2 linked regions of the Drosophila melanogaster genome follow. The gene in region 1 interacts genetically with each later gene. Each region holds a gene or a part of one and is shown on either strand. Other genes may lie near its edges.

Region 1 (4,857 bases):
CTCTGCATTTGGGGTTATGATCATTTCAAAACTTCAACTCAACGAGCATAAGTGGGGGAAACAGTCCAAAGAACGATCAAAACTGGGCAACTGGTTGTTGAACGGCGTGCGAGTGAACAGAGAAATGGGAGCAGTCAGAGAGGAGGGGTTTTTGGGAGCGAAACACGTGCATAAGCGCACGCACCTTGGACGGAGATTTGCCGCCCTTCTTCGACACGATCACTCCTCTGGTCCTTCGTCTTTGGCCACAGAAATCGGTTGCAGAAGTCCCTGTCCTTGCAGCAGGCGTGGGCGCCATTGCGACCCACTGGGCGGGCGGTTGGTCCGCCGTGCAGCCCGTCGTTACACCAGATGGAGCGGCCCGGCGGAAAGATTTGAGACTTGTGCAGACATCTGCATCGCTCGATAGATCGATCGTATCAGACATATTCACACTGGCTGCTCTGAGGGGCAAGTGCTAACCTAATCAAAGGCCTGCTCCTCAGGCTCTCGGCACTCACCTGTAGCTGAAGATGATGCTCCCATCAGAGTTCTTCTCCACGGACGTGAAACAAAAGCCGTCCGTTTCACATATATTGTTCGATTCCTTGCACGTGTCACAGTGGCATTTTATCTTGTCTGCAGAACATAAAAGGTAAAATTAATATAAAGATCTATTTGCAAAAAACCAAACTTTAGAGTACTATCAAATCCATACATTCCTACCAAAAATTTGTTAACTTTAAACCGACTCACCAACAAAAACTTATTCTTCGCTTAACGATATATCTTCACTATTTGTAGGTGATCCTAACCAAGCACGTGTTTCTTGTAATATTTAATGAATATTAATTACTTGTGGAAAGGTAAGCAAAGGAAGAGGTCCGCGCCTCATTTGCCACGGTTAATGATTTTCTTATTATTTAAACAAATAAAACGCAAAAGCATAGGTTAGCAGTAGCAAACTTCTCGAATTAAGAAAATGCCCCGACTCCGATTGAAGCAAATCAATCAATTAGGCGCTGGCAGAAATTAACTAATTAGAGAAATAAGAGACCCATAAATCAACCACTCGCTGATTGGCATCTCCTGACCACAAATTGGGATTTGCCATAACCATGCCCCCGGGGCACCTGGCCGGGCACACGCTCGCCCAGACAGTCACATAGACATCCATAGCCACTACCATATCCACATCTACCGCCACCGACACCGCCGAGAGCGTGATGAAACAAAAACAAAACCATTTAGCATTAACAAAGCAGACGCGGAGAAGACAAGTGCAAAGTGGAGGGCCAGACAATGCGACCAGTTTCCCCTTCCCCCGGACAGCGAGAAGCCAGTGCCAGTGCTTAGGCCTGCTTTTTTTTGCACCGACTGCAGTTGCAAGTGCCCAAGTGCAGCAAGCAAATGCATCCAGACGTGGGGGTGTCTGCAGCCAGGCAGCGTTGGAGTGGGCCATGAGAGCTGTCTGGCTCAGCTCATTGACACCACGGAGAGGTGACGTCACTATATGGGAACGGAATCGGAGCCTCAGGCGCAGACGAAGACGGCCTTTTAGAAGCGTTCAGAGTCTTTGAGGTGTTACAGTCACGCGATATACACACGGAGAAAAGATCCCTATGGCATCGAAAAGATCGCCAAGTATTAAGTAACCCTTGGTAAGATATTTTAATTATTAAACAACAACAACAAAAATGTCAATATATCGGACAAGTAAGGTATAACCACTAAGCGGTTTCTATCTTCTCCCAATAATGGATTTCACCTTAAAAAAGGGAAGTAAAATGACCTTTACTCTGTGCTGACTTTCCTGGTTAACTGAAGTCAAGTAAAATGTTTGCAAGGCAATACCGGAACAAGTCTGTAAATCTATCACATTCTTGTTGTTTAGATAATTCGGGGTGCATTGTCCGCAGTGTGCTCTACACTCTCGTTAGGCAATCGGAACTTACTTTCTGGCTTTTTCGCGCTAGGCTGAGCAATGTAGATGGGCAGCTGGGGAGTAACAGCAGGGGCCACAGCTCCAGATGCGTCGCCGTCTTGCGGCAGCAGCATGGACACGGCGCTAGCGTTGTTGTTGTCGTGGCTTCTGTTATCAGCGGCCAGCGACGACGATGGCGACTGATAAGCATGTCCAGCTGTTCCAGCTGGAGCCCTGAGCGCCGGCGCTTTGGTCGTCGGTGGCCATTTGCCAGGGTGGGTTGCAGTCGCAGGATCAGATCGAGAGCCATTTAGGCTGGTGTCCATTACGAACTCAATGGGGGAGGCTGCACCGGGGGAGATTTTAGGTTAGTTTCGCACCTGATCCAGATTAATGGAACCGCTGGGGGGTACACTCACCGCAAACAGAGGCGCCGAGCAGAGCGCCCAGGAAGATTAGCCGGAGCGCAGATAACATGTTGGCTATTCGCACCGACGATAGTGTGTGCGACCCGACCCGAGCTATTGTTATTGTTTGTGCAGCCCGAGAGCTTTTCTTTTGTTTTCCACGATCGCACGCACGCACACGCGCGTCGCAAGTTCAAAGTCTGTGGCCTGCAAATGAGATTGTTGTTTCGCGGCAGGACGAGGCGGGGCCGCAGGAGCAGGAGGAGCGGCAGGAGGACACCTCAGACAGCCACTAATTGGCCCCGAACTGCGCATTTATCGCGTAGGACAGGCGCCCGCGAATTCCCACATTTGGCGGGGGCATGGCCGGGAATATAGACTGGCGATTCTCACAATTAGCGAATCTCGATGGGGGCCCGCAATGCGAAACTCGAACTCCACACTCCGCACAAGTTGGTTGGAAAAACTGCTCTGCTCTGCTTTACATTTCACGGACGAGGGCGACTTTTCAGGCGGATTTTCATCACGTGATTGGGGCAGTGGCGCGGGGGAAGTGGCACTATTTCATATTCCGCGGGACAGCCGGCACTTTCGGGTGTCTGGGGCAACCGTTTGTTTATATTAATTGCTGCTATTTTTTCTTAAATGTACAATTTTGTGCAGCGAAAAACCGCGCTGGTGTGTGTGGATTTGCAAACAGTGTGACCGCACCTGCAGTAGTGTGCCCAGGCTGGACTGCCCATGAAAAACACCCACCCGCTAGAGAAGTGCGTAAAAATGCCCAATCGGTTATGTTTTTATGGACAATGATTTTTGTTAAAATATTGGTTGTTTCCAGGATACATAAAAAAATTTCGATTTGTTTTGTAACAGATATTTATTTGCAATAGCTGCAGGTACTGCACCCGTTCCCAGAAACCCAACCAGAACCAAAATGCGGGGCATACGACAGCAAAATGATCATGTCCACTATTTTTACTGCCATAACAGACTGAAAAGGTTCAGAGGCGGCATGCCAGGCTCAGCTCCCTTCATAAATCCTGCGAAAATGAGAATTGGTCAAAATCAATGTCGGTCCATTTGATATTACCCCGCTGCTTCTTCTTCCCAGCCGCGTGTAGATTACAAAAAACATGAACCACAACTTACCCAAATACAGCACAAGAGGCACGAATCCCCAGTGGAATCCAGTCTGGACGACTCCAACCACAAATCCCAAACGATCCTTAACTCCCTCGGATAGCTTCATTTCGTACGGATATTGAATTTAGCTCCTTTTGCGAATTATGAAATGATAACTTGTCTGACTGCAAACGAAGTGTTGGAAAACAGCACTTTTTTCGATATAAAACAGCTGACAGAAACTTTTTGTTAGGTTACTCGTTCAATTTATATTTTCTTGGGATGGCTTTGTCGCAGGTTGCTGGGCCTGAAATAATTTACCAATTTAAAGAATCAGTAAAATTATTTCGAATACAGATTTCTGTTGGTGTGGCAACATTGACATTTGAGCGCAAAATTTAAATTCGCTTCTAAAACGGTCACACCGTTTTGCCCTTTGGGTTTTAATCTGATATTCTTTAATTTATATTTTCCACTATAAAGGTTTTTAACTACCATTTCACCGACAAGTTGTCTATTGGACACATATCATGAAAAGAAAAAAGTGTGCTTGGTCTGAAAAATACCTTTTCGTATTTTTAATGATCCCGCAATATTTTTGCATGTGTACTCCCATCAACTTTAAAGATGTTACATTTCCAAAGTTTCAAATTCTGAAAGCGTTGGAAATGCAACAAGAATTTGAAGTAAGGAAACTTCTTTTTAACGCTCAAAGTTTTCGTTGATTTCTTAACAATATGAAGCATAAAAATAAAAAATACCCCTGCTATCTCTCGCAGCAGGCAAGTGCTCCGTAGATCGATACTATCGCAGCCACTCGAAGTCCCATCTCTAATCTCGAGTCCCTTTCGCACTTGCCCGCTACTCACATGAGTTCTAGATCGTTTAGTTTTCTTGGTTTTCATTTGCTCGCCAAATTTTAGCAACGTTGCTGGTTTAATCGGCTGCACCTGCAATCGCGGTTAATCAGAGAGCGCCGAGCACTAAAGTTCCCATTGCCAAACGAAACGTAAGTGATAAAGAACGCCAGCAATGAGCGAACAAGAGCAAAGCGCACGCAGTCGGGGAAAAATCAATTGATGTTATGTAAGCTCGAATAACCGGATACCGTGTCTACTACTGTTGCAGGTCCCGATTTGCTCGATTTGGAACTGGAACGGACCATGAAAACAAGCAATCTCGGCCTGTACGCTTTCCGTTTAACCTTCGGTCAGGTGAGCACACGCACATTAAACCAGGCAGCCAAACGGCAGAAACAGCATGCGCATTCTGGGGGAAACCTCTGAGTTTTTCGGCCGGGCAAACCAAGGACCACCACAATCGTCGTTGAGAATGCAGCGACTGCAGCCGGGAGACGAGTGTCTGGAGTGCCAGAGTGAAGGCAGGAATCACAAGCTGCGCTACTTTTACATTAATCTCGAGGAG
Region 2 (7,564 bases), on another chromosome or scaffold:
GATGAATGGCCGGTAATCCTTGTCCACCGAAATGATCTCCTCCATGTCGCTGACATCGCAGCCACCGCAGGTGATTTGGATGAGGTGGCTCAGCTCGTGGCCACTGATCCAGTGTTTGATGGGCCACTCAATGTCGATCTTCATCCACTCATCTGAAAGTATGCGAAAGGAAAGGCAGAGCGGTTAGTTGGGGGTTCCACAGAGCCATCTTCTCTTCTCCCAGAATCGTAGATCCCATCTTTCTTATCTGGTAACTGACCCCAGGAACTCACAACTGTGCTGGGTTGTGGCCAAAGTTCAGTTTTTGCACCCACGAATAATGCTTTGTCAAGTTATTCACCCACATGAATTTCAGATTCGAGCCGAGCTATCAAGCAGTGCTATCACGAATCTGCGCAATGATCTGTCTAATTGAAAACACAAACAAGCGGTTGTCAACGTTGGCACTTATCGGCGTTCTTTATAATTTTTATAATACCCATCTAGTATAGACATGTCACATATTTTGATTTGTCCCCCGAGGGTATTGAGGGTCAGTTTTGGCCGTTCCGCGGCTGCCGACCAAAGGTCCAAACGTGTGCGATTCTTTTCTGGGCATGATTACGCTCTGGGGGGATGAGTGTTTATGCTATACTAATGTATACTATGTGTACCCACCTTGCACATTCACCGACTGGATGGCTATGGTCTTGGCCGCCGACAAATACTTGGAGTCCTTCTGCTGATCCACCTCCACCTCGGAGACTACGATCGTCTGCTGGGCACTGGTGCTGTTCACCGATGCCGTGTCGGTGCGGTTCTGTTTGTTCTTGAAGAGCCACAGGACGGCGGTGCTCACGTCGAAGCCCTCGGCATCTGCGTCGTCTATCTTGAAGGTGAAGCACATGGACGGATTGGATTTTCCATCTCTCGCTCGGTTGCACTCGACCTCCTCTGTAAAAATAAAGGATAAAGGGTTGTGTTAGCAAAATCAGAATGGTAAAAGGATTCCCTTTGAAGTTAAGCTTCAATCTTTACTTTCTAGTGCTTAAATCTAGATTTGCTTACCTCTATTGAGCAGTATGAACTTCTTGCTAGTGCGAGCGTAGTAATCGTCCAGCTCCTTGTTCTTGGTGCTATCGTCCGGATGGGAGAGTGTCATCCCGTCGAAGATGGGCTTGGGCAGCTCCACGGCCGACACCTTGGGGCTCTCCTTGAGGCGCAGCTTCTCCAGGATCTGCTGCTTAACGAACTCGATGCGTAAGTGGGTCAGCTGCTCCTCGGTGATGTGCTCCACTTGGCGATTGCTCTCGCACTTGGGGCATCCTCCGGCGCTGGACTTCACCGAAATGGTGATGTTCCTCTCACCCAATGGGAGCTCTGGCTCTATGGGCGTTTCCGGCTGCTGATCTAGGTCCAGATCGAGATCGAGATCCTTCTCCTGATTCTGCTGGTCCTCGGCCATCAGTTCGTTGCGCACAAAGTCCAGCGGCGACAGATCATCAAAGTGATCATCGGAGGAGAGGGATGACTCCTCGGGGGCATCTCCGTACATGATAGGCAACTCCACGGGCGGGCTCACATGTCGGTGTGCCTTCTCCTCCTGCTCCATGAGGTGTTGCCACAGGCGGGGCACCTTTAGCTGCTCCGAATGGGAGCCGGGATGGTTGTAGCTGAGCTCCTGCTGCAGGAGGTGCTGCCTCTTGTGGATGACGTGGCGCCTCAGGCGGGCATAGTACTCCCGCTTGGTGATCGGTACATCGTCCTCCTCGCTGGTCGGATCCGGTTCCAGGTGTTTCAGCTGACGGGATCGTTGCTGCCGGATATGGTGTTGCTGCTGCAGCTGTTGCGAGGTGTGCTGCACATGGGGATGCGGCTGGTGCTTAGGATGCGGACGAAGGATGTCGCCACGGGAACTCGGATGGGAGCGGGCGTGCAGGCGATTGTATACGTTCCTGTTCTCCAGGGCCAGACACACCAGCAACACCAGGGCTATAAAGTACTTGGCCATTTCTGAATATGTACTTATGACTTCTCTTTTTTTTTAACTGTGAGATATTTTATATGTATCTTATGATCTTCTGGATCGCCTTTGGTTTCACTCTTGTTTTGTCGGCTGGGGCTGATTGCTATCTGTTTGGCAGCATTAAAACATCAATTTTTCCGGCTTTCAGGTTTACAAAACTCATAGAATTGCAGCTGGTTTCACTTATTGTTGCCGTTTTATAGCCTTGTTTAAGCACTTTTAAAACGTTTATGCGTTTTTTATGATTTTATATAACAACGACTTATACGCTTGAATGATGCATGTTCAATATTTTAAACTTTTCGTTAAGTTTCGTCTGCAAATAAGAAGAAATTTGTAACTTAGTTAATATTGTAAGCACATTCCGATTATTAATCAAATAAATTAAAACAGCTATGCCCTAAATTTTCTCATAAATATTTGCGAACGCGCTGCCCCAATTAAAATGCAATTTAATATGCCAGCGGATCAGGTGCATTTATCACTATCACTCACTAAGCCCGAAGTCTCGCTTAATTTTTGCACCAAATTGCATCATTTATTCCATATCGTTGAGCTCGAATTGGCAGGTGGCAAAGTGCAAATCGTTTTTTTGACATTAATTCCGGGAAGATTTAGTTTAGTTCAGTATTCAATTTCACATTATCACATGGGCTATTTGCCCCAAGTGCGACTCAAATCGAAAGCGTAGTTGCGCAGATCCGCTGATAAGCGGGCTCAATTAGATGGCAATTAGGTGGACGTGGACCCCACACGTACCGTGGTGAGCACACTCCGATTTGCTCCAATGGGATCTGAATCTGCTCAGCCGGATGAATCCGGCGGGGGTTGCGGCATTAACTTTGAACCCGGACACGAAACACGAGTGGCACGGGCCTTTAGCTATAGCTGGGATCGCGCGTCTATATAGTATTCCACTTGTGGTATGGTCTATGATATAGTATGGTGCTTCTTTCTCTTCCGACATGCGGCAGCGCAAACGAGTTGTGAATGAATGAAGCGGTTGGCTGATTAGTAGAACAATTTATGTGACGATCGCCGAGCGTTTGATTGATCGTTCCGCGAGCGCCAGCCGAACCGAACCGAACCGAACCGAAACAATCCGAACCACTCGAATCGCATCGTATCTGACGGATCGTTTCGTATCGGTTGCGGACTCGGATCCAAGCCGAGCGGTTCGGGTCTCGATTTATGACTATAGACCATGGTTATGGCTACATGGCGCTCTCTCTTTAGCCGAAGACAATTGGATATGCAAGTGGGGTGCAGCATTGCATCAGCTTCTTGAAAACGCCAAGCCACCGAATTGCATAAAATTCTTAATTGCAATTTTATTTTTAACCTCCCGCCACCCTGACAATGCCACGCCCCCAGTTGGCGGCGTCACTATCTGTTGGCATTTTTGGCACTCGCTTGGCCACAATGGGGCATTTTGATATCAAGTGAATTTATGATCGCTTCAAACCGAATCGAATCGAATCGAATCGAGTCGAGTGGCCCATTCATGCTAATTACCCCGCAGCGTTATCAAGCTTGACTTTGATGATCCGACTCGATTGTGTGTCAATCAATTAATAGTGAACACGTTGCTGATAAGGGGCGGTTTCCCACTTTTGGTCCACAAATCGGGAGCATGGAATATGTAGTGCGGCATTTAACCAATTAAGTACGCTTAGCATGCGATTCTGGGCAATCCTAATCGGATTCGGTTAATAGATGCGCATTTCAAATACATAGTGTGTCTGTTTTCCAATTTAAATGCGAATGGGAAATTCATGAGTATTTCGGTTGGGAATTTCATCAGCCAGAATTTCTGGTCTCGGCTAAATGTGAAGCAGTCGAGTAAGGTCAAGAAAAGTATTTTGAAGGCCGGCAGATCACGAGTTATATTATACCGCCTATTCGATTTAGCCTTAAATGCTGAACACGTGCCCGATTCGCTTGTCACGAACTGTGATTTTTCTGAACCCAATTAGATCATCGAGACGAATAGAAATGATCTATACTATACGGAGGAGAAGGTCCGTTTAATTGATAGAAATTTTGTAGGCCTCAGCGAATTCTGGCAACATTGTTGGTGCGGCTTAAGCAAAAGCAAATTAATAGGGGTTCTTGTTAGGAAATAATACAATAAACAACTATAAGTATTGCATACTCCCCAATTTCATATTAGATTATGACACCTTTGACTTGCACAATTAAGTTTAGTTTTACGTGTTCCCATAAGTTACATAAGGTATTACACTTTTCCAGTGGCCCTTTTCCAATTTAAATGACGTCCTGGCCTTCAGCATATGTCGCACCACTTATCAACTCATCGCATATTTTTCCACAACCTACGTAGATTGCCACGTTCCAAAATCTGCTCCATTTTGTTTTTTCCAACACAACCAACCTGACGTCGATTAAAGCGACTGGGGGCCACATAATGACGGATCAGATCGGATGGGATGGGATCTGATAGAATGGATGGGGATCGGATCAGGAAGCAGGGCTTGGATTGTAGCACACACGCGACATGTGACACGTTTTGTACGTACTCTTCGTTTTTGACGTAACTCGAGCTGTCCGCACTGCACTGGACTTAATGACTGACTTGACTGACCGACTTATCAAAGGCAGGAATCGAAGCCGAGGCGTGCGACTGCGATGTGATGGGGGCCCGCGGAAAAGGGGTGCCGCTGGGAAGGGGGACAGAAGTTGAAGAAGGTCATTTAACGCCCGGCAGTCATGGCTACGTCATCGAGCACGCCACCAGCGCGTGATCAGAAGCAAAAGCTGTAGTGAAGACTCCGCGGTTGCCATGTCGATGCAAATCGGAGCAAAAAACTGCTGTGCCTGTGAATGGGGAGTTGGGGGTCTGGCGATGCGTCGATTGGAGGTGCAAAGTACAGCCGCTTGATGGAGATGGCTTCTTGACTAAGCGACTCTGCTTGGGGGTTTTCCATGGGCCTGCCCGTATCATTTTCGCATTAATTACGGGGCAGCTGGGACTGGATGTGGGGCTGGGACTCGGACTTGGAGTGGGGCTATCGTAATTGCCGGCAATTATCACTTGCATTTCTTCTTCGCGCGCAGCAGTTGAATGCACTGCGACAAAAACACGGCTGCTTCCATCGGTTTTTGGCAATAAATCACGGCGATCACGCCGTTCTCGCCGATCAGCGGTTGGGAGCATGCCACGATCTGGACTTTGGAACCGCTCACGGAGATTGCCCCGATTGCCAGAAGCCAGAGGCCCGAAGCGTCGCAAATTAATCTGCCATAATACTTTTCTCGCCACACGCTCATCGGCGATGCTACCATAAATCAAGTGCAGGATTAAATAAGATCATCATTGGTAGCAACTAAATTTGGCCAATGACTCTCGACGTGGCCGAAATTCGCCAAGAGCTTTTGGAGGTTATGCGCCTGGGTTATAGGCTCGAAAACTATCAATCAATCAATCGGTGATAGATAGGCCTCTGATCGATAAACCATTCACTGCATGATTAGTTTTTAATTACGGCATGATATTCCAAAAGCGAAACTAGAAACTTCCCTGCGATTTGGTAATAACTGATATTGAGCATTAGACTGCTAAAAAAAATATACAATTTCTAGTATCCCATGTTGAGGCTGATTCCATAATTCACATTTTTGGCACTTTTATTTAAACTTCTTACACAATAAGCCCTTGTGTTATGTAACTCACCCAAATTAATAATCCATTGTCAAAATGCTTGAATAACTTAGCACATTGTTTGCAATCTTCTGCGAAAAGGGATGCTTATCAAATGTCCTTGAGTGATTCTACAATCGATTGTCCGTTTATTTGTTTTCGCAAATCACTTTCGCAAACTCATTATTGTTTTGAATTTCACCACTTGAACTTGATTTCCTCAAAATGACGAGCTGATATTTCGCTGAGCAAAAACAAATGTTTTGAAGAAACATAAAGTATTATTCGTTCACACCAAGTTTCATGTACGATTTGCACGATTTGAATAATTTTCGATCCGATCGTTGGGAACGTCTGCGTGTGAATAATTCGACGATGGGCGGCGCAGCGGCCACAAAAGCCTGGAGCGGTACGACTAACGGTATCTGTGGGGAGCGGTATGGGTGTGAGTATGGGCCTGGGTATGGGTATGGGTATGGGTATGGCCCACTCTTCGGGCGGCAGACAGTTGAGTTTCAGTTTGTTTGATAACAGACACGCCGCCGATCATTGGCGCACTCCGCTGCTCTGCGTTTTAAGCGATGCGCAATTCTACTTTGCTTCCAGCAAGTGCGACAGAGAGAGAGAGAGGGAGAGCAGGGAGAGCCACTGATAATGGGTGGCTTTCCCCCCTGGCCCACACAGCAGCGTTTTAGGTCCGGTTGGCTCCCATCCGATCGCCTCCTGCATCGAACACCCACGCCGCTCGAGGCTGGAGCATCGAACAAGTTCGCTGGCCGGCGCTACATGTTCGATGGCCGTTCGTGAGTTCGAGCTTGTTGGGAATGAGGATCGAGCCCCAGCATTCGTCACCCAAAAACGTGAGCTGACGTCGTGCCGGTGGGGTTTTATCGCTCGATCCAACCGGTCCAAAGTTCAGCGGCAGTCCAGTCCAGCGGATTGCCTTTGACTTTCCCTGATAGCCGACATTGCCTAATGGCGATTGGTTCTCACAGCCAAAGCGATACCATCGCTTTCTTTTGATGGCCCAATGTCTATTAATAAGCGGTACTAGCGAGAGGTATGACTAAAATTGACGTATAACCATGAATGCTAGAAGAAAGTACATATGTATCATCGAAGAATATGCAAACAATGTCGTGTAAAAGACTGAACAATTAGATGTAATATAACGAATGAACTAAGTATACTCAATTTCAGACTCCACCCTACGTATGCCTTCCTGTTTTTGTTTAGCTCTTGGCCAGCTAATCGCTTTCCTCTTGACCAATTTACGATGTGGCTTTTACGACGTTTGGGGTTTCTTGTTTTTAACTTGCTGGCTGCTTCAATTGATTACCATGTGTGATATCATAATTTTGAAGTTTTCACGCCCGTCGAGCATGGGTCTCTTGAGATTACCTCGGAGGACAATAGTATGTAAATGGCTAATATTAATTAAATGCTGGCTCTGATTGCGTATCGCTGTGTTTCACTTTCAAACCTCATGCCAATCGACTGATTAAGTCCGTTCCGAGTTTTGTTTACCTTGAGATTTCACAATAAAGCATTCACCTCAAATATAATGCGATGGAATCGCACAATATACCTTTCGTGATTTGTATACTCAGGATCGAGGCAAAATCTCACTCGAAACGTCTAATTTTTAAATGTGGCGCGCGTGCTGAAAAACACGTCACAATGCACGGCTTATCGTGGCCGGGCCTCTGGAATTTCAGTTTTTAATTAAAACAGTGTTTTGGTGTCATAATTAAGTCAACAATATATGATGCTTATACCCTTGATAGGGGTACTATGACTTTAGTTACACGTTTGAACTGCAAGCTTAAAGTTACCTTAAACATCTAAAGATTCATTCTAATATTTTCTGAACTATTCATCGCTTCATTTGATTATAA

The links. Genes that interact genetically often act in the same process or in processes that back each other up.
Region 2: of babo (region 1) and daw, changing one enhances a phenotype caused by changing the other (phenotypic enhancement), as found in Drosophila melanogaster (one study listed by BioGRID).

Annotation. Positions count from the first base shown.
Region 1 is NT_033778.4:8,950,495-8,955,351, reverse strand, and holds the start of babo (baboon), read right to left. Parts: upstream 3,014-4,857; 5' UTR 2,381-3,013; coding exon 2,323-2,380; intron 2,250-2,322; coding exon 1,935-2,249; intron 619-1,934; coding exon 501-618; intron 394-500; coding exon 185-393; intron 1-184. Other genes in the region: Tom7 (translocase of outer membrane 7), read right to left, coding at 3,286-3,350, 3,460-3,559; CG8229 (uncharacterized protein), read left to right, coding at 4,765-4,857; CG33199 (uncharacterized protein), read left to right, coding at 4,596-4,646.
Region 2 is NT_033779.5:2,803,737-2,811,300, reverse strand, and holds the start of daw (dawdle), read right to left. Parts: upstream 6,041-7,564; 5' UTR 5,700-6,040; intron 2,980-5,699; exon of another isoform or gene 2,765-2,979; intron 2,322-2,764; 5' UTR 1,991-2,321; coding exon 1,048-1,990; intron 934-1,047; coding exon 658-933; intron 153-657; coding exon 1-152.